Nothobranchius furzeri: one gene and its partners. Each later gene encodes a partner of the first gene's protein in a complex. Links are inferred from orthologs where the notes say so. Each region holds a gene or a part of one and is shown in the gene's direction. Other genes may lie near its edges.

What was found.
Region 2: the proteins of rnaseh2a (region 1) and rnaseh2c are in contact, whole or in part, in a crystal structure (PDB 3PUF), measured with the Homo sapiens proteins. The link is inferred for Nothobranchius furzeri from reciprocal best matches to the Homo sapiens genes RNASEH2A and RNASEH2C. Residues at the interface, in NP_006388.2 of Homo sapiens: Thr11, Asn99, Ser102, Thr103, Leu106, Gly107, Arg108, Val109, Val196, Glu197, Lys198, Leu199, Glu225, Pro226, Val227, Phe228, Gly229, Phe230, Pro231, Gln232, Phe236, Leu245, Ala249, Glu250, Asp251, Val252, Ile253, Trp254, Glu255, Asp256; in NP_115569.2 of Homo sapiens: Pro33, Cys34, Glu35, Val36, Ala37, Val38, Ala42, Pro43, Val44, Gly45, Arg46, Phe47, Phe48, Pro50, Ala51, Arg53, Ser62, Phe63, Arg64, Gly65, Arg66, Cys67, Leu68, Leu134, Glu135, Thr136, Lys143, Gly146, Ala147, Thr149.
Region 3: the proteins of rnaseh2a (region 1) and rnaseh2b are in contact, whole or in part, in a crystal structure (PDB 3PUF), measured with the Homo sapiens proteins. The link is inferred for Nothobranchius furzeri from reciprocal best matches to the Homo sapiens genes RNASEH2A and RNASEH2B. Residues at the interface, in NP_006388.2 of Homo sapiens: Val227, Phe228, Ile253, Trp254, Glu255, Ser284, His285, Tyr287, Phe288, Arg291, Gly292, Leu293, Glu294, Ser295, Ala296, Thr297, Ser298, Leu299; in NP_078846.2 of Homo sapiens: His16, Phe18, Lys39, Asn42, Gly48, Ala49, Ile50, Val63, Lys64, Val65, Phe66, Lys67, His70, Phe74, Val79, His86, Phe87, Val183, Tyr211, Gly214, Leu215, Asp218, Tyr219.

What each region holds. Positions count from the first base shown.
Region 1 is NC_091747.1:71,083,910-71,093,764, forward strand, and holds the start of rnaseh2a (ribonuclease H2 subunit A), read left to right. Parts: upstream 1-4,121; 5' UTR 4,122-4,227; intron 4,228-4,471; 5' UTR 4,472-4,480; coding exon 4,481-4,607; intron 4,608-4,677; coding exon 4,678-4,749; intron 4,750-5,764; coding exon 5,765-5,891; intron 5,892-5,973; coding exon 5,974-6,061; intron 6,062-8,911; coding exon 8,912-9,049; intron 9,050-9,855. UniProt on the Homo sapiens protein: Catalytic subunit of RNase HII, an endonuclease that specifically degrades the RNA of RNA:DNA hybrids. Participates in DNA replication, possibly by mediating the removal of lagging-strand Okazaki fragment RNA primers during DNA replication.
Region 2 is NC_091741.1:88,184,219-88,194,116, forward strand, and holds rnaseh2c (ribonuclease H2 subunit C), read left to right. Parts: upstream 1-3,521; 5' UTR 3,522-3,924; intron 3,925-4,594; 5' UTR 4,595-4,595; coding exon 4,596-4,749; intron 4,750-4,878; coding exon 4,879-4,991; intron 4,992-5,076; coding exon 5,077-5,196; intron 5,197-5,430; coding exon 5,431-5,454; 3' UTR 5,455-5,618; downstream 5,619-9,898. Other genes in the region: seipin, read right to left, coding at 1,256-1,291, 1,394-1,537, 1,629-1,707, 1,793-2,043; zbtb3 (zinc finger and BTB domain-containing protein 3), read right to left, coding at 7,378-8,440, 9,032-9,837.
Region 3 is NC_091754.1:26,816,185-26,826,223, forward strand, and holds the start of rnaseh2b (ribonuclease H2 subunit B), read left to right. Parts: upstream 1-4,927; 5' UTR 4,928-5,286; coding exon 5,287-5,350; intron 5,351-5,964; coding exon 5,965-6,033; intron 6,034-9,804; coding exon 9,805-9,912; intron 9,913-10,039. UniProt on the Homo sapiens protein: Non catalytic subunit of RNase H2, an endonuclease that specifically degrades the RNA of RNA:DNA hybrids. Participates in DNA replication, possibly by mediating the removal of lagging-strand Okazaki fragment RNA primers during DNA replication.

The sequences.
Region 1 (9,855 bases):
GATGGCCGAGCTTCTCACCCTATCTCTAAGGGAGAGCCCAGCCACTCTTCAGAGAAAACTCATTTTGTCCGCTTGTTTCCGCGATCTCGTTCTTTCGGCCGCTACCCAAAGCTCGTGACATTAGGTGAGGGTAGTTTGACCAGTAAATCGAGAGTATCGCCTTCAGGCTCAGCTCTCTCTTCACCCCAACAGACCGGAACAACGCCCGCATCGCTGCAGATGCAGCACCAATCCGCCTATCGATCTCGCGCTACACCTTTCTCTCACTCGCAACTCCTCCACTGGCAGGACCTCATCCCTGACCTGGAGACGGCCTTCTACTCTACTCAAAAAGTTAGTATTTGGTTTATATTTAATTAATTTGAGTAGTTAAGTAACTGTTTTAACACAAAACACAAAACTTTTTTTTTATCAATGCCTACGTGTTTGTTAGATGTAGTTGAGCATTTATTTGTCTTTCAACTAAGAACTAATAGTTTTATTTCTGACATGTTTGATTAGAAACTATAAACTTACGCTGGTGAAACTTTGTAACTAAATATCTTATATTACCTGTTAAAAACTTCATTACCATCCCGTGTTTATTTATAGAGCACATTTAAAAACAGCATAACAGCCGACTAAAGTGCTGCACAGGACCGGGGCAGTGGGAAGATAAAAACGCGTTGCAAAAATACAAACAGAGCAATAAGCATCCATAAAATGCCTTCTCCGGGTCAGGGATGAGGTCCTGCCCCAAGTGGAGGAGTTCAAGTATCTCGGGGTGTTATTCACGAGTGAGGGAAAACTGGAGCGTGAGATCGATAGGTGGATTGGTGCTGCATCTGCAGCGATGCGGGCGTTGTACCGGTCTGTCGTGGTGAAGAGAGAGCTGAGTCAGAAGGCGAAGCTCTCGATTTACCGGTCAATCTACGTTCCTACCCTCACCTATGGTCATGAGCTTTGGGTAGTGACCAAAAGAACGAGATCGCAGATACAAGCGGCCGAAATGAGTTTTCTCCGAAGAGCGCCTGGGCTCTCCCTTAGAGATAGGGTGAGAAGCTCGGTCATCCGGGAGGGGCTCAGAGTAGACCCGCTGCTCCTCCACATCGAGCGAAGCCAGTTGAGGTGGCTCAGGCATCTGGTCAGGATGCCTCCTGGACGTCTCCCTGGTGAGGTTTTCCAGGCACGTCAACCGGGAGGAGGCCTAAAGGTAGACCCAGGACACGGTGGAGGGACTATGTCTCTCACCTGGCCAGGGAACGCCTTGGCTGTGCCTACAAATCATGTCCATTAAAGTTATAAACAGAATTGGTGACAAAGGGCAGCCTTGGCGAAGTCCAGACTCTCACCACGAACAAGCCAAACTTACTGCCGATAATGCAGACCAAGCTCTGGCACCAGTCGTAAGGACACCTGACAGCTCATATCAAAAGACTGGGCACCACATACTCCTGAAGTACCCCCCACAGGTTCCCCAGAGAGAGACAGTCGAATACCTTCTCCAAATCCAAAAATCACACGTAGACTGGTTGTACAAACTTCCACGCACCCGGCAGGATGGAGTTGGTCCAGTGTTCCACGGCCAGAATGAAAACTACATTGCTCTTCCTGAAACTGAGGTGCAACTATCCAGCAGAGCTTCCATTCCGGAGCCCCTGAATAGGCTTTACCATGGAGGCTCAGGAGTGTGTTTCCCCTCTAGTGGGAACACACCCAGCAATCCCCCTTTTCTAGTAGAAGTACCACCATCCTGGTCCGCCAGTCAAGCGGAACTCTCCCAGATGTTCAGGAGAGATTGCAGAGTTGCATAAATCAACATCCCCACAACATCCAGAACCTTAGGAACTCAGAAAAACTGCCTTCCATCCCTGGAGCCCTGCCACCTTAGTGACCTCTGCACCAGAGATCGGAGAGCCCAACCCAAAGTCCCCAGAAGGTGGAATTGAGGAGGCCTTCAAAGTACTCTACCCACAAATCCACTATGTCTTGAGTCGAGGTCAGCAACACACCGCCTGCACTCTAAACAGCGTTGGGAGTGCATCCCTTTTCTGACTGGACCCTTTCTTCAGCTTGACAGCATCCTTAACCGCTGGTGTCCACTAATGGGTTTGAGGGTTGTTGCAATGACAGGCACAGAGTAAGTGGCTCTGGCCGGCCACCTCGACAATAGAGGAAGGGAACATGGCCCACTCTGACTCAGGGTCCCCTGCTCTCCTGGGATGATGTTGAAAGTTCTGTCGGAGGTGGGACAGGAGACTCCAGCAGATGTTCCCAGCAGACCCTCACAGAGCTGCAGCTTCCATGAGCTCAAACTTCTTGTTGTGCAAATCAACATTTGGCACTGGAGGAAGCCAAATCGGGTGTAAACGTGCACTACCCCCGCATGCGTATCAACTCAGAAGTAGTTTTTGATGTCAAAGATATATGCTGATTTAGCTTGTTTCTTTTTTAATTGAAAAACAAGACACTGAAATATTACAAACAGTAAACAAAACATATAGGCTACAAGACAAAGCTGAAGTTGGTTCTCTTTTTTAGTTTCTGAGTCGGGATGGGCCGTTCCAACAATTGGGTTTTTTCGGCTCTCTGAGCGTATTTATTCTGCTTCAATTATAAAACCACTAAACCAAGACTCTTCAAACCTGGACTATTACTCTACCTTAACAGCAGCCTCTATGATAAACTGACTTGTGAAGCCTTTTTATGATTAGTGAAAGTCCAAAGAAGGATACTTTTTTATTGTGAGTTTGGATTATCACATGCCAACATATTGTTCCATTTTATAACAAGAGCGCATTAAAGCTACTCAGGGAGTGGAAACAGTAGCAGGAAATGTCCTTTCTGATTCTGTATCTTAAAAAGGGAACCAACTTCAGTTTTATACAAAACAGGCAATAAAAACAGGGGCGTGCCCAGGGAGTGGCCTGGGGTAGCACATGCCACCCTTAGAATCTGATTGGCCACCCCAGGTGCCACCCCACTAAGTTCCAATGTATTGACTTTACATCGTCGACAAAAGGCTTGGGTTGTAAACTCCAAAATAGTGTGTGGGTGCATGCACCTTTCACCTTGTTTTCTAGCCCAGGCGTGTAGTATTAATAATATTTAATATTTTTTCATACTCACATACATAGTATTTAGAGTCCCACTCAACTCCAGTTGGTGGTAGTAATGCAACAAGAAGTGACTTGCTAACCACCACAAAAGTAGAAGATGAAGAGGGGAAAAAATGGTGATTGTGCAACGTGAAACTCAAAAATTCACTAGAAAGTAAATAAACAAATAAACAATTTGTGTAAATAAATAAATAAGCATATCCATTGGTGCCACCCATGAATAAACAAGTGCCCCACATGGGCCACCCCATTTTAAAAGTCCTGGACACGGCTCTGAATAAAAATAAACAAAAGATTTAGCCTAAATTATTGCATTCCCAATAGCTTCGATGTAGTAATATGTACACAGAGACTACAGATCTATTATTTCATTGTATTTACACAAATAATTTTTAGGGGGCCTTATGGGACCGGCTGTCTTCTACAATACACCTCCAGGGCACATTCACCCTGGACAACCTATAATATTTGGGATCAGCCTGAAGGACTACCAAACAGACTACGCTATAAACAACTTATTACTCTCATAAAATTTCATTCATTGCTCAAAATAGTAGAGGAAAGCCTACTTTTAATGTATTCGAAACGCATTGTTATAGAAACTTATCTTATTGCCTAAAAATGTATGAGATGTAAGCAGCGTTGAACTTGAATGCATTTGATGAATTGGACAACGGTCTAATGATATGTACACAAATGTGTAAATGTGAGAGTGGGCGTGGTTTTATCTTAACTTGTTATCCTATTCAACATGTTTCTGTTTGCCTAAATGGAAAAACTTGGAAAACAAAATTCACTCTAACTTTTCCAAAAGTCTGAAGCCTATTTGGTCAGTTACCTCCTTAGTGTCCAGTTTTTACCAAAATAGTGCAACAAAAGTAATTTTATACATTTATCTACAAGAATGACGGATACATTTTGATTCATTTGTGTTTCACATTGTGAAAATCCTTATTTAGGCGTTTACAAACACAGCGATGTTATTGCTGTGAGTCTCCAGGCCAGATGAGGGCGCTACTGAGCATCACAAATAGAATAGGAAGAAGTCCGTGATGACGTCACTCCCAGGCGCCAAAATCGGTGTCGCTCAAAAGCACAAAAAGGCAGAAGAGGAACACATTTACCGCTGGTAAGGGTACCGTTTTCCTTTTTAGATGAATTGTTGGGATGAATATGTGTTTAATGTTCTCTCGTGACCCATTAAACACAACCTATTATAGTATTAACGATTTCTGCCGGTACAACGATGCTACCAGAAAAATCTAACAAGAATCCGTTCTTTATTAACGTTTGAAGCTTAATAAGGTGTTTTTTGTTACTCGGTAAACGGGATAGTATCCCATTAAGCACTTTAACGCCGAGTTTCCTTCCAGACAGCAGTAATGGACCTGAGCCCGTTTGAAGCTGATAACTCTGTCAGCTGCCGGCTAGCCTCTCAGATCCCGGACGTGTGCAGGACGGAGGACTGCTGTCTGGGTGTGGATGAGGCGGGCAGAGGGCCTGTGCTAGGTGTGTTAAAATAAAACAAACCCCAGTAAACCTGCTCTCCTCCATGCATACTGACAGGGTTTTGTTCCAGGGCCTATGGTGTATGGGATATGTTTCTGTCCAGTATCTCAAAAAGAGGAGCTGAAGGCCTTGAAAGTGGCAGGTAATAATTATTTTTATTTGTTTATATTCCAGGCTCATGCTGACCTTCATCTTTATTTTCGTAAACTTGTGCAAATTTGAAGTCTATTAATCTTCATATTCTGTATTGGAAAGCAAAGCTGTAAACAAAACGAACTACAATAATATTAAACAAAATATTGTCACACACACTGGTGGTATATATATATATATATATATATATATATATATATATAGTAATATATATATATATATATATATATATATATATATATATATATATATATATATATATATATATATATAGTAATAAGGCGTCTATGTGAATCGTATCGATCAGAAGAGTTTTTGTTTGGGGGTTCCAGTCTGTCTTTATGTGAATCAGTTGGAAAAATTAGGAGATTCATCTTGTTCACAAACTACCGTGTCAGTCACACGTTGAATTGAATCAAAACTGACTTGAAATTGAAGTTATAAAGCATTCAAAAAACAATAACAATAAAGTTTTAAGTATCAGGCATTAAAGCAGAAGCTTTGATGCTCCACCTGAAAGTAAATCTGTAAGGCTTGTCACCAGCAGTCAGACATCAATTCTGTTTGCTTCACAGCCAGACAGGACACGGGGAAAAAAATAAAAATAAAAAAATAAATAAAAAGAAACTGAGTTGAAGTAGTTCCCGAGTGCAGCCGCAGCTCACCGCTCCCTACGAGGATGGGTCAAAGGTGGAGATCAATTTCTCCAATGTGTGATGACTAATGGGACTTTAAATTTAACTTTAATAATTTACTGATCATTTTTGTCGGGCTTTTGGAGCAGAGGGACAGTCTGAACCTGATGGTAGAAATTTTTTTGCATTTTGCAAGAAAATCACATTGATGGTTTGTTTGAATTTTTCCTACAGATTATTAAAAAGTCTGTAAACGCCAGAGTAGGTCACTGCAAAACCCTTCCGTGTGTGTGTGTGTGTGTGTGTGTGTGTGTGTGTGTGTGTGTGTGAACGTGATAAACAATTTGTCATCCTCTTTTTCTTAATCAGATTCAAAGACTCTAACAGAGGCAGAGAGAGAAAATCTCTTCCAAAAACTGGAAGAAGCCAAAAGCTACGTTGGCTGGGCCCTGCAGATTCTTTCACCCAACGTTATCTCCACCAGTATGTTACAAAGGTTAGTCACACTGAGCTCACACGAGTGATGGATATGGAAACACACACACACACACAATCATATTCTCTTGATTTGTTTCAAGGACAAAATACAACCTCAACGCCCTCTCGCATGATACCGCCATCGGCCTGGTGCAGTTTGCCTTGGACAGCGGAGTTCAAGTTAAAGAGGTGTGTGAACTATGAATATGAACATGCTGCATGCATGTTGTGTTTGACCTCTTTATTAGGCACGTCTCTTCATCTGTTGTTGGCTTGCAAGACAAGCAGGTCCATCTGATCACCGGGACCTGCTGAGGTTCAAAATGAGCATCAGGATGGAAAAGAAACAACATTTATGAGTCGTGGTTGTTGGTACCAGACAGACGAGTATTTCAGAGCCCACTGATCTTCTGGGATTTGAACCCACAACCATTTATAGAGTTCATAGAGAGTGGTTAAACTGGTTCTAGATGATAGGAGGATCAGATCAGCACTGGTTCCTCCTACCATGGTCTGCAGGGGAGCACCAGCTGCTCCAGACAAACTCCAGCAGCAGAAGACCACACCAGGTGTCTCGCCTGTCAGCTCAGAACAGGAGACTGAGGCAACAACTCGCACCGGATCAACAGAACTGGACCAGAAGAGACTGGAAAACCTTTCCTGGGCTGATGAGTCTGGATTTCAGCTGCAACATTCAGATGGTCGGCTCAGAATTTAGTGTCACCAACATGAAAGCATGGATCCACCCTGCCTTGATCAGTGCTTCAGGCTGCTGCTGCTGGAGATGTTCTTGCCCTACTCTGGACCCTTCAGTCCCATCTGAGCCTGGTGGAACCACCACAGCCTACCTGCATATTGTTGCTGACCATGTCCATCCCTTCAGGACCACACGGACCCATCTTCTGATGGCTTCCTCCAGCAGGATCATGCACCGTGTCACAAAGCTCAGATCATCTCTAACTGGCCATGAGTTCACTGGACTCCAATGACCTCCACAGTCACCAGATCTCCTCTTTTGGATGAGGTGGAACAGGAGGTTCTCATGGATGGAGCTGACATCAGGATGGACCAGAACCTCTGGGGAATGTTTCCAACAGCTAGATGGATCTGTGACCTGAAGGATTACAGATGGGGATGTTCTGATCGTGTTTATTTTAGTTGATTCAGGGTAATTTGATTTGAAGAACCTGGCGACGCCGAGTCCTGATCCAATACTTTAGAAATGCATTAATAAAAAAGGAAAACACTCGAGAGTTTTTAATCATTAATGAGTTTCTTTCTTTCTGTATTTATGTCATTTCTTTAGTTTTATCTGCCATAAAACATCACTTGTTTTATTACTCGTCACTCAGGAAGTACATCAGTAAGAAATGAGGTAATATTAGGAATATATTTGAAAGTAGTCTTGTCACCCATATTGCAGATAGTGTGCGACAGGGATGGCACGACACATGGCGGTCAGCAACAGGGTTACTTCTTTCTACAAGGCACCTGAAGAGCTGCTGCGTCTCTAGAGTTGGGAAGAGAAAGCAGATCATGACTCAAGGAGACCGCAGAACCGGACATTTGCAACCTCAATGATCCAGTGTGATCTGAGCGTTTTTGCTATCCATAGACAATTTCTTAACGCATCTTTTGTTTGTTTGGGCTGGCTTATCTGAATTATAGCAGCGAACTGAGCAGGGTTAGTTTTTTAAGGTGGCACACGTAGTGTTGAACGCAGCACGGCCTTTTCCAGCATGTTAAATGCCCAGTTTGCACACATTACACGTGTTTATTACACCCCCTTTGCTGTTGGTTTTAATTACATCCACGTTAGACATTTTCTCTCTCTTGAGGTGACGACTGTGTTCTGCATTAGCCTGTTCGCTAACAGGTACATGTTGTGGCGTGTGATTTCCCGGGCTACCTTAAATTGTGGGGCTCTACAGCGTTGTTGAAAATCTCTTTCTCAGCATGAATTAAAAAAGTAACGTTTGTTGTTTGAAACGATTAAATCAGGTATTTTTTTCACCTGATTCTGATTTCCTGAAAGTCACGTGATCGGACCCGATTTCTGATCACGTGATCGGATCGGAGCATCTCTAATTATAGAGGTTCTGAAGGAAGAGGTGGATCCAGCTTGAAACGTGTACCTATGAAGTGACCAAAACAAACTAACAGACAGAAGCTTTTTAAATCCTCATTCAGAGATGAATGTTTGTAAGATTTCATATGAAGACTTTCTAATGTTTTTGCAGGGTATCCGCGGGTCCTTTAAGTCTTAAATTTGCTTTTTCAAATTTAAGGCCTTAAAAATCCATAACAATTACAAATAATCCTTAAATACAGTTTCCAAAGGTCTTAAATTACCAACGACCCAATAAACAAGATTCTTTCATTTCTATAAAATTTTCGTGAATTTCTAGTGTTCAGCATTTGTTGTGTACGATGTTGGCGTAAGCGGAACCGTACACATTCAGTTGGTTGTGAAAGGGGGCTATTTTTAGATGAGCACATTAGCTGGTTAAGCTAGTGGGAGCTTGCGCCATGGGGAAGTGCAAGTTTAATGGTAACTGGATGGCTAATCCCACGTTCGTGACGTGGTTAGCACCGGTTTCAGGCAATAGCCGGAAATTATAGCTTATTTAATTTAAAAAAAGTAGCTTAAATTTGGTCAAAGTGGCCTTAAAAAGCTCTTAAAAAGTCTTAAATTTGGCTCCCTTAAACCTGCAGATACCCTGTTTAGGTAAAAAGTAAACTAAGTGATGCAACTAAACCCAGAGACGTGCGATGCTTAACCTCTAAACCGTGCTTGTGCGTTCCTGGTACTCGTAAAAATCACATTCAGGTCGGTGCTGTAGGAAGGAAACTAGCTCATTTAGTCTTTTTCTCTGAACTTGTTGCCCCAAGTCCTCGTGTTCACCTCACCTCATGTCTTCATACGGGGCACGGGCCTTTTTACATCTGAGGAGACAAAACTTTCAGTCATTTTATTATGATTTAGTTTTGCTGCATCCTGTTTTTCTCCATCAGTCGGGTTTATCTGGTCTTCCTCAGGTTTATGTGGACACAGTCGGCCCAGCAGAGAAGTATGAGGAGAAGCTCTCCCAGCACTTCCCTGGCGTCCAGGTGACGGTGAGGCCAAAAGCCGACTCCCTCTTTCCCATCGTCAGTGCTGCCAGCATCTGTGCAAAGGTGGGTCGTCCTGCACCTTTTCTTCATGACATCACTCGTGTTCTTAACATGTTTGACATGAGAGCAGCAATGCTGAAGCATCAGGCCTACGTCACAGAGAGGAGGAGCTCTCAGTGTAGCGGTGGGTGTTTAGGTCCAGTCTTCACCCTACACGGGTCACCAAGGTCACGAATACAAACAGGACAGCATGATTTCCCTGTGTTGGGTAGCTATCAGCCTTAGACTCAGAGTGGAGCTGCTGCTGCTCCTCCAGGAGGTTCAGACATCTGGTCTGGTCCCACGGGTGGAGCTGAGGGGAGGACCGAGGACTCTGCTGGGGTTGCTCCGCCCACAACCCAGATAAGTGCAGAAAAAAGGTCAAAATGTTTACAAACATAGGTTTGGGTCCTGTGTGGTGTGTGATGTAATCATGACATCATGCTATGGCGGGGATTAAAGCTCTCCGTCATGGCGACGGAAATCGCTGAGCAACATGGATGCATCAGCGGATTTCACTCTAGTCTGTGTTCATAATGGATTAAGAAAGGACAGGAAAACATTGTTAACTCAAACATATCATTATAATGAACATGTATAGATACTTTATCATACATAACTACCAGCCTGTAGCTCTACTTTCCCCCAAAATGCACCAGACTGATGCGTTTAAATATAAAATGTCCAATAATTTTTTTCCAGGGGGGCCATGCCCCCGACCCCCCTAGAGTACTTTAATACTCATCATCTTTTTTACCTCAGAGAAATCTCAACATCCACACTTATAAACACTGTGTGTGTGTGTGTGTGTGTGTGTGTGTGTGTGTGTG
Region 2 (9,898 bases), on another chromosome or scaffold:
TAGCAGTAGTTCAGCATTAGCATATAGCATTAGCATATCCTAGTCTTTAGCATAGCTTTTAGTGTTATACATACTTATTTAGTGTTAGCTTGGCTGTTGGATATTGTAGTTTAGTTACTGTTTGGCTGTTAGTGTAATTAGGAAAGTAGTTCGGGTTTAGTGCTCCATATCGTGTTAGCATGGTGAGATGGTGTAGTGTAGTATGGTTGCGGAGCTCTGTCGGGTTGCACTCCTTTCCGCTGGACTTAGAAATTAGGCGCCAGTGGTTGCGTGTCTGGAAAAGATTCAGCTCCCGCCTGGTGCTGTAGTTTGCAACCAGCATTTTACCCGCGATTCTGCACGTCTCCGTTCCAAGAGGGAGGCTGTGCCCACCGTGGCTCTTCCGCGATTTAGATACAGCCCACCGACTCTGCTCCCCCACCATGACGGGCTACAGTCTGAGGTGAGTAAGCTAAATAAAAGTTTTAACATCTTCTAAAGACAATTTCCTACCTAAATGCAAAGTTTGAGAGACGTGGTTCACTCCATTTAGCTAATATCAGTCTGCACTGCCTTCGGGCTATTTTGTCAAGTTCACAAAATGTGGAACGGGATGTAAGGTTAGAATCAGCGGCGAATCGGAACATATCTCGAAGCCCTGGCCGACAAAACGGTCCACATGACTGTCAGGCTCAGAGAAAATTCGGGTTGTTTTTGTGTCAGTCGGTAATTCAGCAACAGTGACTCTAAACTGACGCAGCACTAGTTGACAGACATCATTACAGCGTGAAATCCAGCACAGCGTGACCCGGTTCCGTGAGGAATTCTGTTCAGGAGGTCGCATTTCAGGGTCTCCACATCAGTGGAGAGGTCCTGGCGACCCACTGAGAGGCTTTGGCGCCCCCTTGTGGGGGTCGGGACCCCCAGGTTAGGAACCACTGATCTAAGAGAATGAGACCAAACTTCTCTCTACACCTGCGGATTTCCTTCAAAATGTTCTGATTTAATAATTACTCCTTTGCTCAACTTTACTGCATTTCCTCTTTTTTAAACTAAATATGGGAATTTCATGGACATTTTCAAATATATGCTTATAGAACAACTGTTGCACCAGTTCTATTTTTACAGTATTTAACCAACTTGATTCAGTTGAGCCTCCTGAGTTCAGCTCATGTCTTCTTATAATCACCACAGAGATCCCCTCTACTGCAGTGGAGCTCCACAGGAGCAGCTATAATACCAGGCTGTGTGGGCAAAAATGCTTTACTGTACTCACAATGCGGGAGCTGGAGGCCTTTTGCAGCTGGCTTGCCTGGGAAACACATTTCAGCACAAATCATCACAAACACTGACAAATCTAGTTATTTATTTATTTATTTATTTATTGGTGTGTGGAGACACAGCAGCAGCTTACAGAGCGAGCAGATGTTGCAACTTGCTCTCCATCCTGGGAGAAGCAGGCCATCTTTATCATGAACATCCCCACCTGCTGATTGGTTGGAGAATCAGGCATCTCCAGCTGCAAATAGATCCGATAAATCTGGCCAAAGGTCAGCGCCTGCTCACACATTTAACAAAATCTCAATTTAACCGGCGAATTTACTAAACAGTGAGTTGACCATTCAATAGAACAATACAGATAAACTGACATGCTTCTTGTCTCTCATCAAAGAGACGTTGGAGACAGGGTGAGAGCACAAAAAGGAAGATAGAGATTCACAATCTGTCCTGTTGAAAGAAAAATGTAAAGAAATTGTGAAAATTAAGAGGAGGAAAATAAACAACAAGGAGAAACTAGCAGTGATGTACACACCTGTAGTAATAGTGCACAGGTGTGGAGAAGGCTGCCCTGGGCATGTAGGAGTAGTAGAAGCTCCCGTAGAGAAAAGCAGCAACACTGAGGAGCAGAAGTACGATGGAGAAGATGGTGAAGCCCTGTAAAAGTCTCCGACGTGCCTCTAGAATCGCTATGGCAACAGCATCCTGGATCTTCACTAGAGCACGACTAATGATGACTGAAAGTCCCCCCACATCATCTGAAGGCAGATGGCTTTTCTGCTCCATAAATTCTGACCTCTGGAAGGATAAAATCAGAGGAGCGGAACATTTGAACACATTGATTTAAATTATGGAAAAGAAATGAATGAAAGGAGTAAAACAGCCAAAAAGTAACAGTTAGATTTCACAATAATTAAAACTGACGGCTGGAAGGTTCTTGGGTTGAGATTTTCTTGGAATTTAAAGACGAGAAATTATGTACAGACTTATAAAAAGCAGACAGACGACGTTACAAAGTAAGAGAACAATCCTGTACATTCAGAGAGATGCAAACCACTGAGTCCAATCACAGTCATGAGGGAGAATCTTTCATACCATTTGACTCTACAGTATCAGCCTGACGGTAAGGTTTCTGCTCAAAGAGGGAGAAATTAGTCAGGTTTTAAAAGGTGGATAAAAGGTCGGTTACAGTAAGGTCGAGTTATTTAGGTTCTAGTTGTTGTCACTCATGTTAGATTTCATTTCCATTGAAAATCAACATTTTTAAGATGAACTCATAGGCAGGGAGAAGTTTTTAAAAAGTAAACTAAGTATTTTTAAACCAAAAGTTAAAAAAGCATACATCTGAATTACATTTCCTTCTGTCCTTATGAGATGAACTCACCTCTGGTTTCTTTTGGACCAAATATGAGCTGTTGGGAAATCAGACCCGACGTTTCTCAGTCCTCTCTGGTGAAACACAAACAACAGGCTTCAAGGATCTCATCCTCAGTGCCTCTGAGCCCAAAGCGGGACCGGTTTAGTCCAGCCCACAAGGACAGGGGACTCTTCCAACTAGAGCATATATATACATGTCAGTTTTTTCTCCAGTGTCTCCATGAGACCCCTACAGTGTAGATGAGACCCCTACAGTGTAGAACAATGATATAATGATTAAATTAATGAAATGTATATGTTTGATTATTAAAGTTTACATTTGAGTTCATCCTTTTGGGGGGTTTGTGTTAGTTTGCCCTCTTACTGTTTCATAAAGCTTTTTTTAATCTTGTGAATAGGACTTTAATAGATTATTTTATACGTTTTCTATTTCTGACTCTGATTGGCAGCTCCTCACCTGCTTGGTTCATCATAAATTCACATGTGGCTACTTTACTGATCAGCAGATGATTAGGTAAATAAATTGTAAATGTTTTCTGTGTAGTTCACATTTGCCATTTTAAAGTTTTCTTTCATGAAATGCTGCTTTAGCAGGGATGTTTGCTGTCCTTGCAAAAAACAAACAAAAACAAAAACATTACCCTGAACTACTCGGCACTAAGCATGTTTAATATTTAGTTACACCCTCTCTGGGTGGTGACAATATGTATTTGACCAATTTAGCAAACATTTTGGTGATTTTTTCCCCCCAAGAAGATGATTCAGCAAGATTATCATACTGTTTGACACTCATTTTTTTTAAGTCAACCTTAAATTGTATAAATTATAATATTGGCAGTGACAAAACATATTTTTTTAAAAACTAAAACTAGCTTTTAGTTTATTAACTCAATATTCCTCCTAGCACTTCAATGTTCCCTGTCCCACTGGTTGCAGTTCAGGTCCAAATAATGAAATATTTTATCTAGGGTATTTTAGCTCAAAGGTTTTTATTTATTTAGATAAAACACGAATTACTCGTATACGTAATGAACAAAAATAAACCCACTAATGTGATCTCCAAGTCTCACACATTTCTAAGTAAAAAGTAAAAAAGAAATTTCTTATTTTTCATTGTTGAACGTCAAAGCCAAGTTAAACCTCACCAACAGGGGGCGATAATCTGCGACAGAACGGAAACACCTCGCCAAAATGTCCTTGAAGTAGAAGAAGAAAAATTTTATCCAATCAAACGAGTGTCTCACATTATGCGGAAGTAGTTCCGTTACGCGTTTGGAAAACAGTAGAAAGGTAAACGTGGAGATTTATTTATCCAACGTTAGTTTAAACGGTTTAACTACATGTATAATAGTGTTTGAGCAGAACAAAAAGTCCTGGGTAATAATGTAGTTTTAATCCTGTAGTAGGGAAGTGTTTATGTGATGCAGCATTTAAATTTATTTTCAGCTTTTGAATTTCCCTCTAAATAACTTCAGTAACTATTATTTACTTTGTCTAACAAACTGTTTTTAATGTCAGTTCTAGTGAGTGCAGAAAACATTTGTGTTTAGATGACGATGGTGATAGTAGTTATAATGAAAACAGGACATAAATATAGTTTGACAGTAGAGGAAAAAGGAAATAAAGAGATAAATACAAGGGAGTATGGCGTGTTTTCCTAAAAAGGACAAAAGTAATAATAGAAATGTAAATATATTATTTTTAGATGAAGGTTCTGCATTTATTTACACCTAAAAGAAGAGATGAAGCCATCTAATGCGTATAAATAACAATTATATCAATAGAAAAGCAAATAGCCAACCACCAAGTTGTGATCTACGCTCAGATTAAGTCATGTTAGGCTTTGTGTTGCTCAGAGAAAAAGGAAGAGACCTCTGCAGCAGAAAAAAATCTTGTTTGGAAAATGTCTAAAATGACTCTTTTAGTGTAATCTGTTCAGTCTCTTGTGTTCTGGCTACAGGATGAGCTGTAACACCAGTGTAACACATCTTGATGTGACTTCACTGGGGCAGGTCAAACAGGCCCAGGTCCACCTCATGCCCTGTGAGATTGAGTATAATGGACCTGCCCGGGTCTCAGAATATTTTACTTCTACTACAAAAGACCGTAAACAAGGTACACAGTCTCACATCTGTTACTTGTAACATGTCTCTACTGGCGGTCCGTGTCGCTTACTACAAGTATCTAACTTTCAGTAGTTTAGTTAGTCCAGCAACAGTTTATCATTTAGTTTTCTAATTACAGAGAAGACGGTGTCATTCAGAGGACGTGGTCTGAAAGGACAGGAAATCAGCTGTCCACAGGGCTACACAGGCCTGGTGTTGAAGGAGATCAACAAGCATGGCTCTGACCAGGAGGTAAACATCAAACACTTAAGGCGATTTTCTGTCATTTCTACATGTTAATTTATACGTGTGTGTGTGTGTGTGTGTGTGTCCCCAGGACAGGACAGTGAGGGTATCATCTGTGTTTAACAAACTCACCTACTGGAACCTGGAAACTCCTCCAACCTCTGATGATACTGTGGTGATGGCCATGGACTGGCCTGAGCTTGCAGATGCTGTAAGTTAATTAGTCTAACTTTATCTGGATGATGGAAAGATTAAACTGAACAGCTGTGACTTTACTTATAATCTCTGACATATAAGGTAAAGCTGGAATGTGAGCACGTGTAGGAGCAACATTTACTTGTTCCTATTTGCCTAAACACAAACTTCATTAGGAACTAAGAACTATAGAAAACACAAGCTGGTGTATGGATTTGAAGTTGGATGATACTGTTTTGTTTTTTCACAGATCCACGGGCCGGTAGCTGAATGAACAGACTGATAAAACACCCTGTTAGGGCTGATGTCTCTTCAGCTTTTTCCAAGTGGTACACATCTTGCTGCCAGCTAACCAACGATAACAGAGCCAGCTATTATATTGTACCAATTATTGCTCACATTTTATTAAAAAAAATTGTAAATAAAGACAAAACATTACTGGCTGGTATATTGTGTGATTTAATGGAAAACAGCCACATTTGTGCCACCTTCACAAGATTATTTTTATTCACAACAATTAGATTTTGGACGTTCACAACCAAAAAAACACTAAATATTCACCGCCTTTGATCACTTTCAAAGTCATTGGCTTGTATGCTAAATTCTGCTCACACTTCACTGTACACATTTCAAAAAGTTCTTCAGGCACAGTCCAACTTTACATTATATAAATAAGGCAGAAACGTGCACGTGTGTGTGCACTAGAAAAGGGTCACACTTGGTAAAACAGAACTAACAGCGGATCCCTTCATTTTAATTCAAACTGAAGTGGAAAAATAGAATTAGAGATCTGGATGAAAACTGTCAACACTTGTTGAGTATAAACTGCTTTTTTATTACTAAATTTATCTTAATTTTAAGAGATTGTCCTGTTTTCTAAGAAGTACCACATGTTTGTTACATACGTCCTACAGCTGCAACAGTAATACACCCCCACTCCCCCAGCACTCTGGCTCACGTTGAAAGAATAAAAGACGAGGTGAAAGAAAACACTTTGGCACACTGGATAAATACAGCTTACAGTGAATCTATTATTGAACAAAGCGCATTAAAAACAGAAAAACTAAAGTTATAAAACGTTTTTTTAACTAGATATTTTAAACACGTTTGCCTCTTGCTGGGCTCGGTTGGATTAACCCTGTAAAACATGACATCACCACTACATTTGCTGGTACAGTCACACAGACAGGACAGTCATGTATCAAAACCTATTGAATTATAACTATAGCTTTCCGTTATATACATTAACATGGCAAACACTTGACATTATTCTATTAAGACATTAAAATACAGCTCCTTAATAATCATCCATTCTTACGATGTCTGGTGTAAGAATGTTTAATTGAACAATGCACAAGAAAAATGGTTCAAATGACAAACCTAGACTGTAAAAAGCCTCTTAAATATGACTAAATGTAGCATGGCAGGTACCAGATCAGCATCGCACTTGTGTTACACGCTGATGGTGACATCAGACAAGATAAACTGAATAAAACTGCTCCAACGCTGGGGGTTATGCTGCAAGACTTACGGTGTATTTGTGCTTTGGTGGTGGAGGGAAAGTTGCAAAGTTGTTGCAGTTTTCTTTTGAAATGGTAACATTTAGTGTTTTTAGATAACTAGACTATTTTTAAACACAGTTAACCTGAAGATGAGAGATAACAAATAGTTTTAATAAAATATCTTAAAAGTCCGAGATGGTACGGCTCCCATCTACCTGAATCCTCTTGCAAAGGCTTACGTCTCGGCCCGGCCGCTCCGGTCATCACAGGATCGTCGGCTAGCAGTGCCTACACCACGCTCAGGACAATCCAGACTCTTCTCATGCATCGTTCCACAAACGTGGAATGACCTTCCAAGCACTACAAGAACAGGGTCTTCCTTTTCAATTTTCAAGAAACTCCTGAAGACCCTGCTCTTCAGAGAGCATCTTCTAAACTAGCACCCTCCCTGCACCCGTCCCCCCTCTCTACTGTCCACTCCTTGTTCCCTCCTCTCCTTGACTGATGTCAAGTTGTTGTTGTTATTGTTGTTGTTAGCCTCAAGGGCAACATGCCAATTATCACTTGTAAGTCGCTTTGGACAAAAGCGTCTGCTAAATACATAAACATAAACAAAATATTTAGTAAATGATAAAAGTGGCATTTAACATTAGGGTAGACGTAAACTAGTGTCAGAGGAGCTCTGATAGTGTGTGTTAGCTAAGAGGCGGAGGTGGTTGTTGTGGTAAAGAGGGCTCAGAGTGAGCCTTGCTGCGTTTTGCTGGCAGACTCTGGTCGTGGGCTTTACGAATGTGTCGATACAAGTCACCCGACTGTGTGTAGCTTCTGTAGCAGTAGCGACACTCATATGGACGTTCGCGTGTGTGCACAATGGCATGGCGCCTTAGAGTGTATGTACATGAGAACGTCTTTCCACAGGCGCTGCATGTTGGGACATCTTCCACAAAGTTGCCCATAGAATCCTGGAGCTCTTGGAAGTAAGCAGGAGGGTCTGACTGCTGCTGAGATGTGGACGGAGGAATGAGAGACGCAGCAAAGGAGGAAGCTTCCTGTGAGGACGGTCCAGCGCCAGAAGAAGAGGAAGATGGAGAGAGGGGGAAGGAGTAGTCATTTGAATGGGTGGTGATTTGTAAGAGGGCCTGTGAATGAGAGGAGAGAAACTGAGGGCTGCTCATCTCTTCATCCTGGATATCTTCCTCAAACTCATCTTCCACGTCCATCACTGACTCTCCTTCCCTTCCTTCCTCGTTCTCCTCTTCTAGCTCTTCATCAGAAATAACAATGGCCTCCTCTTTAACTTTTACAGCCCCTCTATCTTGGTTTGTACTAAGTCTGGGGTGAGAACGTTTTTTTCTAGTAGTAGGCGAAGCTTCAGTGTCCACTGGCCTTTGAAGTGTAAGAGACTGAGAAGCATGTTGGCAGTCCAAACTCTGGCGCTGGAGCGATATTGCGCTCTGAATCCTGATTTGGGGAGTTTGCTGAACTGCTGAGTCTCCTGGGTTTGTTTGGAAGTTTGCTGTGAGAGTTGGTGCTTGGACTGATACAACCATCTGATGTTCTCTATGGTCAGTGTGTCTAAGGTCAGACTCAGATGAATTCTCAGGAGAGTGATCACGGGGAGGCTGGAGCTCATCTGGGTGTGTGCTGACGGGGGGACGAGATCCTGACTGGTTAAAAGCAGCTACTGAGCGACCGCCAGCCTGGCTCACTGGGACCAGAGTGGAGGAGGAGGAGGAGGGTTGCTGGCTACGGCTATGGCTGGTGAAAAATTAACAAAATAATGGAGCCTGTCAGTTACAAGAAGAAGAATGTTCATCAATACTTTAAATGAGAAATATTTCAATAAAACATTCCTATTATGAAATGCTGTAAGGATTTACATGGTTGAAACCATAACATGAAAGAACGTGTGTAATAAAATAAAAGATGAGGGAATAAAACACACAACTCAGACTGGTGATCTCAGCCAAAACAACTGTCACTCAATCAAGTTGACCCAGACACGTAATTTGATTGGCTAAAAGCTACTCGACTTGACTGAGTGACGATTACTTTGGCTTGGGTCACCAGGATTCACCGCAGATGTTGAATTTTCGAAAGATAAGATGTAATTTTTGCTGGTGTATTTTAAGTTAAAAAAACAACGTAATTTTACACGATAAAAATTCAATGCCGTTAATTAAATATCTAAAATAAATCATATTCTGGAGAGACTGCATTTTTTCCATAGGCCTAATATAAATAATCATAAATTCAGAAACCCTGAAATAATAAAGACATCTACTAAAATAAACCGTAGTGACCTCACCATTATTTTATTTTTCTAACCAATAATCATCAGACTCTTACCTGCATGTCTCTGTGGTGCTACAGGGACTGCACAGAGCAGATGCTTTGTCCTGACGACCCCTCCTAATCCTGGTGTGACCCCCTGAAGTCAGGCTGGACTGGTTTACTATAAGAGTCTGCACCAGCTCCCCACCTGGGTCCATGCCAGGCTGAGTGGTGTCAGCCAGCTCAGGGCTCAGAGGGGTTGGAACTTGTTCCTTCGATGAACCCCCACTAGTCCTCTGCTCAGACTTCACACCCTCCACCTGACTTCTTTCTGCCACTTGGGATGCTGATGATAGTGACGTTGCTATGGTGATTGGGACTGAGTGGTCTGCTCCCATGTTATCCAAGGGCTCAGTTCTATGGTCGCCCGCTGTCCTCGTTTCTGCTGCTTTCCTCAATCCTCCACTTTCCTCAGAGCGTGTGCTGTCTGCCTCAGCCAGAGGCCCTTGTCTCTGCAGTCGCCTCTTACACACCCTCACCACTTCGTTCATGTGGAGAAAGCTCGCGGCTGCCAAAATGTCCTCCACTGGAAGCGACTCCTCCAGCTGGAGCACACCTTCGTACACAAAGTCCAAGAGCAAGCCAAATGCAGCCGATGTGACAATGTCATTGTCAAGTGTCACAGAGCTGCTGTTGCTGTTTCCCCCTGGAGAGTCAGAGTAGAACATGTGGAAGAAGGGAGAGCAGGAGGCCAAAACAGCTCGGTGAGCCAGGAATCGAGATGAGCCCACCAATACAATGCAGTCACAAAGGAAGCCCCGCTGGCGCTGGGAACGCAGCGCTGACAGCAATTGCTGCGAATGCTGAGGGAACTCCATGATCTAAGAATGGAAGATAAAAGTGCATCAACTGTAGAAATCCACAGGGCATTTGTCATAACAA
Region 3 (10,039 bases), on another chromosome or scaffold:
ACACACACACACCACACACACACACACACACACACACACACACACACACACACACACACACACACACACACACACAACAACAACAACCATTTATACCAAGTAGTATTTCTATGGCCACATCGTGATTTCTTAGTATATATTCTAATATAGATAAACTTTACTGTCTTTATCTTAGTGAATCTCAAAATAATTGAATAGGTAAATGTGTAGTAGCACATTCCATGCCAAATAAAGTAAATTGTTATTATCAGAAGAGGGAGAATGTTAAGTTGTTGACAGCAGATGGCCCTCTCCACGAGGCTACCACAGCTCAGCAGAACACCATTGTAGCTTCTTCTGAGGAGAAAAACATCCATCCATCCATCCATCCATCCATCCATCCATCCATCTATCCATCCATCCATTCTCTTCCGCTACTCTGGAGTCGGGTCATGGGGGAACAGCCTAAGTCAGGAAGCCCAGACTTCCCTCTACCCAGCCACTTGGGCCAGTTCTTCTGGGGGAAACCCAAGGCGTTCCCTGGCCAGGCGAGAGACCTAGTCCCTCCAATGTGTCCTGGGTCTTCCTTTAGGTTTCCGGTTGAATGTGTTTTACATTTTTTTTTAGATATGGGCACCTTTTCTTCCTGCAGCTCCAATTTAATTTATTACTGACACAAAACTCAAAACATAGACTTAATTTTAGTAGATTCTAAACTTTTTAAGCTGACAGATTTTTTAATTTATTTAATATGGATATATAAAATACAATTCCTCATATGTGACTTTTTCATTACAGTTTCAAAGAGCATTAAAATGTGGATTTCTTTTTATTTTCATTGATTATTATCAGAGAGATGCATGCTCCTAAGACTCTATGAAACAGTTAATGGTCAAACCATTAAACAATGCTCACACAGGCAGAGGGAAAACCCCACATTTGTCCAGGGGCCTCACACGAAGCACCTGATGCTGGGAACAAGGACTCACCATCATAGAAGAGACTTTACTGGAAGAGAAATCTCCCCAGTGAGAAGACTGGCAAAACACTCTACGTGAGTGTGTGTGTGTGTGTGTGTGTGTGTGTGTGTGTGCACTGCAGACGTGCGCTAAAGCTCAAATGTTAAACATGCCTGAGTGAATAGCATTTCAGCTTTTCCAGCATTCCCGGCATTCCGTCCTGTGAATTTCCAGGCAGCGTGGGGTTCACTGATCCTCTGACATCACATGGGAAGGTGGCGGTGTGTGTGGGGGTTCCACTGCCTTCTACATTCTTCCTCTCTTGTTCGCACAATCCCACCCATGTTTGGAAGCGAGAGGAAGGGAATCCCAGATGATGACTCAGATGCTGCTGCAGCGGGAAACTCTCCGCACATCTGTTTCCCTCTGCTGTGAGGACGTCGGTGTGAGCATCCTCCATCTGTCAAAAGGACGTTTCACCCGTGCCGAGTCCAAAATGATAACGTGGCTTTGACAGAAGAATGAAACAATAGCTCTTGCATGAGCGTGATTAAGTGACGCTGTTTCTATTTATATTCAATTTCTCCTGGCAGCAGCATCAGACAAAAACCGTCCTTTATCCTCTAGAAACTCTCAGTCCGAATGATGAGGAGTTGACGGAGAGCTACTTCTTTTACAGATTTCTTGTTTTTGACTTGTTTGTGGGTCACACTAAAATGTTTTAGATCAGCCAGTAACTTAATAATGAACAAAGATGATCTGAGCTAAAGCAAAATGCAGTCAAACGCTACCAAAGGCACCCTTGTCACATATCCATCCCCCTCAACATGATCATTACAAACCACAGGCCTAATTAGCAGCTCAGTGGCCTAGTGGTAGAGTGTCTGCCCTGAGACTGGGAGATCAGGGTTCGATTCCTCATCGGGTCATACCAAAGACTTTGAAAAAATGGGACCCAATGCCTCCCTGCTTGACACTCGGCATTAAGGGGTTGGATTGGGGGGGTTAAACCACCAAATGGTTCCCGAGCGCGGCTGTGTCTGCAGCTCACCGCTCCCCCGGGGGATGGGTCGAATGCGGAGAGCAAATTTCGCACACACATCAGTGTGTGTGACAACTAATGGGACTTTAACTTTTAACTTTAGCACCAGAACTGTAGAATTAAGATGTTACTTCAAAAGAACCTGGCTGACATCATGACACAGGTTGAAAGATCGCAGAAAGCAACACATGGTGCCTCGTAAGAAAATTCAAGCATAAAGGAACCCAGAATGACACCCGAGCGATGTAGAACGAGACAGGAAGAAGAACAGAAAACACTGGAAAAGTCTTCCAATGTGATCAAATTAAAACTATTCTGTGAAGAAGAGTGGGACAAACATCCTTCAGAGGTCTTGCTTTCACGAGCGTTCTCACCAGTTATTAGATTGAGTGATCAAAAACTTTTTCACACAGGACCAGGTTGGTTTGGAAAGCTTTTTCTCCTTCTAAACTAGTTTACTAGTTGAAAATAAGATTTTTAATTTACTCAAAATTGAAGTGTGACAAAACAACAAAAGCAAACGAGGGCAAATACTTTTTTTATAACAGCAGTGTAAACCTCCCCTCTGTAATAATAATAATAATAATAATAATAATAATAATAATAATAATAATAATAATAATAATAATGATACATTTTATTTAAAAGCGCCTTTCAGAACACCCAAGGTCACTTGACAGAAAACACTTAATAAAATACAATAAAACAATAATAAAACCCAAACAAGTAGGCAGATTTAAACATATGTGTTTTGAGTTTTGTTTTGAAAAGGGTAAAACTGTCGGTGTCCTTATTTCTGGGGGAAGTGAGTTCCAGAGACGAGGAGCAGAGCGGCTGAAAGCTCTGCTCCCCATGGTAGCGAGACGGGCAGAAGGAACCGCAAGATGGATGGAAGAAGAAGATCTGAGAGAACGGGATGGGGTGTGAATGCTTATAAGGTCTGAGATATATGGAGGAGAGAGGTTGTGGATTGCTTTGAAGGTATGGAGGAGAATTTTGAAGATGGACCTGAATTTAACTGGGAGCCAGTGAAGCTGTTGGAGAACCGGGGTGATGTGGTGAAAGGAAGGGGTTCTGGTGATAATACGGGCTGCTGAATTCTGGACCAGTTGCAGTTTATGAAGGAGTTTGTTGGGGAGACCATAAAGAAGTGAATTGCAATAGTCGATACGGGAGGTGACGAGGCTGTGGACGAGAATGGCGGCAGTGTGAGGGGTAAGGGAGGGGCGAAGACGGTTTATGGAACGTATGGAAGTATGCTGACTGAATTATGTTATTAATGTGAGCTTGAAAAGAAAGTGAGCTGTCGAGGATGACACCCAGACTCTTGACGTGAGGGGAGGGGGAGACTATGGCGCTGTCAATAGTAAAAGAAAAGCTGTCAGATTTTGAGAGGGTGGATTTAGTGCCAACTAGAAGTTCAGTTTTATTGCCGTTGAGTTTGAGGAAATAAGAGGTGAACCATGATTTGATTTCTGAGAGGCAGAGTGTAAGGGAGGATGGTGGGAGAGTTGAGTTGGGCTTACTGGAAATGTAGAGCTGGGTGTCATCCGCGAAGCAGTGAAACTGGATATTGAATTTGCGGAAGATTTTGCCGATAGGGTAACACACAGGGACGTGAACGCTCACGCACGAGTCAATACCTAAAGCTGCAGCCGGCCACAAATGAGATCATAGCTGAACGTTGGGACGTGTGATCAGGACACTCTCCAGATGAATGTTTATTATGCTCACCTTGAATTTAAAAGGAAGAACGTTCAAAGAAACACACAGCTCCTTTGTATTTGTGTGTGTGTGTGAGTGATGAAACATTAGTTTTCATTGGATGCAAGATTGATGAGGACTATGGAATAAGACTCTGGAGAGGGTCTCACGCTGGAGGTCCAAACCATGAACTTAAATTTAGATCCACTTTGTTCTTGCATGCCAATGTCAGAGAAATGGGCTCTCTGGAGCTCGTCTGTGGTCCAGTGTTCTAGAAAGGACGCTGTTGTTCTGCCGTGCCGTCTGAAACGCAGACGATCCCTCAAACAGCCCAAAATGAAAGAAAGGCTTTCATGGACTAGTCTGTTTAACTCCACAGACGGTCGAGTATGATTCCCCCTGGACTCATGAAACAAGTAATTCACAGATAACGTCTCACCCATGCTCTTATTTTGCTACAGAGAAACCTAAATTGCACTGATTTCAAGGAGGAGCCGATGCAGCGTTCAAAGAACATGCGCTGCTTAGATCTTGAGAAATCTAATTTCTGAATAGAGTGAAAAATGTGGTAGATGACATGAAAATGAGCATGTGTGCGAAACACAAGTCATCGTGTGCACGTCTTAATTTTCTCCCTACTACATAATAGTCTCCGACAGAGACAGGGATCACAAATCTCTCCCTGTCTCGTTAGTAAAACGAGCTAATTAAAAAGCTGTTAATGGTGTGAGAGAAATGAGAAAAATTAACAGCCATAAAAACATATGAAGGTAGAACTAAACAAAATGATTACACAGTCAAATTAAAGAGTTGAAACCACACACACAAGCATCCTACACATCCCTATTTGAGCGTGCAGATTAACAGAGCAGGAAGGAAAAAACAGGAGGAAAAAAAACCCAACAAAAAACAAATGAGTCACTGAAAACCAACTGGGACACACCATGTCACATCCTGAGAGAGAAAGTGAAAGATGCCCTCCTCTTATTGAAGCACAGATGGATCTCCCAATCTGTTATGCAGCAGTGTGCCAAATGACAACTGGTCACCAAACATCTTGCACCTTAGAGCACAGACTTTAATCCCAGCCCGGTTCAGATTAACCAGTTTCGTTTGTGACAAGAAATCAGCACAGAAAAGGCCTGAATGAGTCCAGTTGTTAAAATTAAAGGTCTCAAGCGACCTCTAGCGGGCATGTGGAGAACCTGCACGGTGGATTGACGTAAATTTGGACCGTACTACTATGATAAAGTGTGTGTGTGTGTGGGGGGGGGGGTCCGCTAAATTACAAAGGCTAAAACAGGATTGTTATTGTACATTTTGATTATTTGTTCATATAAAACCACTCAATATACATTAACTTTGTTTTTAAGAGAACCGTGGTCGTAAAAACCTTTATAGACTCTCTTTAAACTGGTCTATTTGACGGATGAAGTGGAACCGCGCAGAGGCGCCTTTTCTGAGCTCACGTTGTCGTGCAAAAAAGGAGCTACGCTATGTAGCCTGATAGGCTTGCTAATGTTTGCGTCCCAAACGGGCTAGTTTACAACAAAAACAAGGCGCAGCAGCATAAAGTCTTATTTTTAAGTGTATTTTTTCAGCATGGCTGCTAAGAAGAAGCGAACACCGAACACACAGAACGACAGCTGGGTTGTTGTTGCTGCAGGTAAGTTTAACTGGGCTGTTCTGTGCTAGGATGCTAAAAACGATAACGGATGATAGCCCTTTTACAATAGCATTCGGTAGCTTGTCTTTTATTCAGACGGAAACCCGGAAACTTAATTCATTTGATAAAACGTAAAAGATAAAGGATTCTGTAATTGTTCAGCATGGGTTATTTTATTTTATTTTATTTTATTTTAATGTGACATTTTCCAGGAAAAACGCATCAAACACTGTAAACAAGGAAGTTCTGCTAGTAGTGGCAAATTTGCACACCCAGATTTCTGATTAGGATTTTAATTATGTGTTAATTGTATTTACAACTTTTTAGTCCTTTTAATTTGTCATCACTTGCCCGTCCCAATGTAGTTCAAGATGAATTTCTTGTTGCAGCATTTGTAAAATGCTAGATCCTTTGTAGTTTAAATCTATGAAATTACAAATACAATCGCCCCCTAAAACATACACAAATTATATATTAAAAACATTAACTTTTTTATTTGCACAAATTAGTTTGAGTGTTCACAGGCATGTGTGGCAGCATTTGATCACATTTATAAAAATAAAACATTTATAAGTTGTTTGTTTAATGTTTTTACTTCTCGTTGTCCTCCACAGAGTCCGTCACAAACACACAGAAGCACGAGAGTGATCCAGCTTTCGTCAGTCTCAAGAATCCCTCCACAGGTTTAACTTTATTTAAAACCAGTTGTGTATTTACATAAAAGGGTTGTTTCCTTTTAGTTTATAAACATGAAATTTTCATAAACGGACAAGACACTTAAACAATATAGAATTATAGCTTAGATTGTAGATTTTGTACTTTTTTATGACTGATTGATCCCAATATCCCAGTGATCTGCTGTAGTAGTAGTTTCTATAATGAGAAGAAGATGAAGTTTGGGTTTTGCATTACTCTAACCCTGAGATTTTAAAATTATTCATCAGTGATGACAAAAACAAATCTAGATACGGAATGCCTTCCCTCTGGACTTATTGCTGATATTTTTCCACTCAGAAAAAATGTCCCACAGATAAGCTGCTGATACGATGTAGCGGTACTTATTCAGGACAGGGGTGGACATTAACTTCAAAACCAACCGGCCAGCCGGGCCGGTAACTCTGAATATTTACCGGCCCCGCCAAGAATCTACCGGCCCCGCAGGTCAGCTGCCAAAACGAGTCAAAATAACAACTGAACCGTTTTAAATGTAATAAACCTTTATTTTGTACACATTCACAAACATAATAACGTATTCAAGTTTGAATTTGTTTGTTCCCTCAACAAAACTCGATTTTATCGTTGCATACTTCCGGCATACAACGCAGTACATCACCAACTCCGCTTTGCTGTATTCGAGCCATAGGCCGTGTTCGAGATGAGCCAGTTCTGTGCAGATTAGACCAGCGGTGATCGGCGAGCAGTGCATGCCGGTTAGATTCGTGTCTGAATTGACGCCGACTTGCTCTGACTTCATGCATACGTAGGCAACGATAACCTCGTGAGATCAAGGCGGCCGCAGATTTTGGAGCAAGGCGCTGCAGTTGCTCTCCCTCGGCTGCAAAACCTAGATGATGACGGGAAACGCCTGGCTCTCACCTGATCTAAGATCTGATTGGTTCATATTTTGATCCAAACATCCGGTGGTAGAACATGAAATGTTAGTCGGTCACATGTATTCTGTAAATCACGTATAGGCCATAAAGAGAAATGTGTTTTGTTTTCTTTTGTCACGTTTCCTATGAGCACACTGAACCTACAGCTGCTAACCTTTACTTACAGTCATGTCTTCATATACAATATATGATATCCACAAGCACGTGAGGATGAGTTTCAGCTGCTAACAGGCACCAGAATTAAAATTGAAAATTGAACAAGTGTGAACGCTAACACAATATCTTCAGCCATCGTCACCCCCGAGCTACACATGCAGGAAAATCCAAGAGATTCAACTGGCAGAAACAACTGGTTCTCTCTCTCTCTCGCTCTCTCTCTCTCACACACACACGTAGAGGAAAAGAGCTGAGAAAACTACAGCTGAGCCGAGGCGCGTCTCGAATGGGGCGCGTCTGATCTGAACTGAGGAGCGGCCGGATTTCGTGAGCAATTCGCTTCTCGGCGCTTTGGGCGCTTCCGCGGCTGGTGTCCCGGGCGAAACGCCGGCTTTCAGCCACTCCCCCCGCTGCTTTGTCTTCTCTCGCCTGTTTTCCAGGCGAGGCGCTGCTCAACTCGAACACGGCCATTCTCTGCGCCTCCAGTCTTCTTTAAACCGCCAAGAATCATTCCACCTACGCACACGCTTCTCTGCTTCATACCGTTTTGAACTGTCTCGCTTCTCCTCACCAGTTTTAAAGCGTTTTGCCGGAGATTTCATCAAGAAATCCCATCCCTGTGGTGGCGCGATCTCCCTGCGTGCTTGTGTGTTTCTAGCGTGGTTCCACTTCGTCTTTAATAGTGAACTTATAGTTCACGTGACTATAACTAGAATGTGCAGTACGTGCACGAATCGTACAAGTGCAGCACGTGGCTAGAGGCGCGCAGGTTCACGCGCGCGAAACGAAAACGGCAGCTTCCTACAGGGCGGGGCCATGATGTAGGTGAAAGCCGGTGTGTAAATGACAAATAAGGCTTGGGCGCCACCCAGGCGGTAAGTCGTCAAGTATTTACCGCCCGACGAGAAAATTTAGCGCCATTGGCGCTCGGGCGCTTTAAAGGTCCACCCCTGCAGGAGCATAAAATGTGTTTTCAGTTTCTCTTTTAAACTGATTAGACTTGATCTCTAGTGCACTACAAACTGATGTTCCCCTAACCTTTTTAAAATACCGTATTTTCCGCACCATAAGGCTCACCTGATTATACGGCGCACAGCCAATCAGCGTCCTAGTTAAAGGTTTGGTCGTCACATAAGGCTCACTGGATCAAAACACGCACCCCGCAAAGCAAACGAGCGTCCCGGTCGGCACAGTTGAGGCAAATTGGGCACTTAGATCAAAGTCAAACGTTACTCCACTCATTGTCTATACTAAAAAATAAATTTCTCCTTATTAAAGTAACATAAATGTCCCAATTTAATGCACGGGTGCTTTTAGCAGCAAGAATGAAGATTTAAACTCTCTTCACCTGGATTTTAACGGCGTCGGTGAGATGGGCCTGCACGGAGTCGCAGATCAGCATGCCTGGATAAGTGTGGAAGAAGCCGTCCTGTCTTTTGGGGTACACCTCCCGCCGCCACGCCGCCATCATGTCCTCATCCATCCAGCCCTTCGGGTTCGCCTTGATGATCACGCCGGCGGGAAACTTTTCTTTGGGTAAAGTTTTCCGCTTTAAGATGACCATCAGCGGCAGCTTCTGGCCATCAGCCTGGCAGGTGAGCACGACTTCTCGTGGCCGGTCGTCCGCACAGACACCGTGCTGGTCCCCATTTTCTCCACGGTCCAGTTCACCAGGATGTCGAAGGTAAGCAGGACCTCGTCCATGTTGGTGATGTGCTGGGGCTGGATGTTTTTGTCTGCCATCTTCTTGGTGCAATAGGAGCGGAACAACTCTAGCTTCTCAGCGTAGTCGGCGGGTAGTTGCTGCGAGACGGTAGTTCTGGTGCGGATAGAAAGCGCTCGCCTCCGCATGAAGCGAAAACACCAGGAAGGGCCTCCTATGAAGTCCCCAATGTCCATCTCTCGTGCTAATGCTGCAGCTTTGAGACGAATGAGACGCTTCTGCTCGCCACTCGCTGCTCTGCGACCCACTGCTCAACTCGGTCTTCAAGCAGCGGCCATCTTGCCTTGTTGCCTCTGAAGCTACGCTGTGTTTTCTTCACCTGCAGCAGCTGGTCTTCCAGCTTTCTCCACTTGCGGACCATCGACTCGTTAATCTTGTATTCTCGCTGCTGCTATGTTTCCATGCTCAACGGCGTGAGCGATGGCTTTGAGCTTGAACTCTGCCTCATAAGCGTGTCTCTTTGCTGGTGCCATGGCTGGTTACCGGTATAGCTGTGTGGAGCAGTGCCACACCTTTTATTTGGTGAGGGTGATAAGGACGGCGCTGGGGGGTACCGCGCTGGGCCAGAGTTACCTTAATACATGTATAAAAGGCACATCCGTATTAAAAGGCGCACTGCCGGTTCAGGGGAAGATCAAAGGTTTTTATTAGCGCCTTATGGTGTGGAAAATATGGTACCTTTGCTAGTTTGAAGTCAAACTTTGACAAAGTACAAAATCAAATGTCACTTCTTTTTGGTAATCGGTAGTAAAACTTGCCTGAGACTCAGTTTTTACCACCTTACTCTGTGCATGTTGACTTTATGATGAACTGATCAGTAAAGTGCATGTGTAAGCGCGAGCTTCAGCTACACAGTTGTCATATCTCAGCAAAGTCTCTGCATGTTTCCCAAGAGCTTTGACATATTTCTACCCTTGTGACCTGCAGAAGTGAAAGTGACACGGTTCCCCTTTCCCCTGCAGATGGAGCCTCTCTGTACCTGCTGGGAAGTGGAGATTTACAGCTGTATGAGGTCAAAGCGTTTGAAGAAGACTTCCACTCCTGGTTTGTTGACCAGACTGTGCAGAGGGGTGGGTCCCATTTCTCATGACCGCTGTCCCGCGGATTCAGCTCAGCCAGTAGGAACAGATTCAGAGTCGGCTCCTTTTGTTTTCTATCTGTGAAAAGTTTGCAGTCAGCTTTCACGTCAGTGCACTT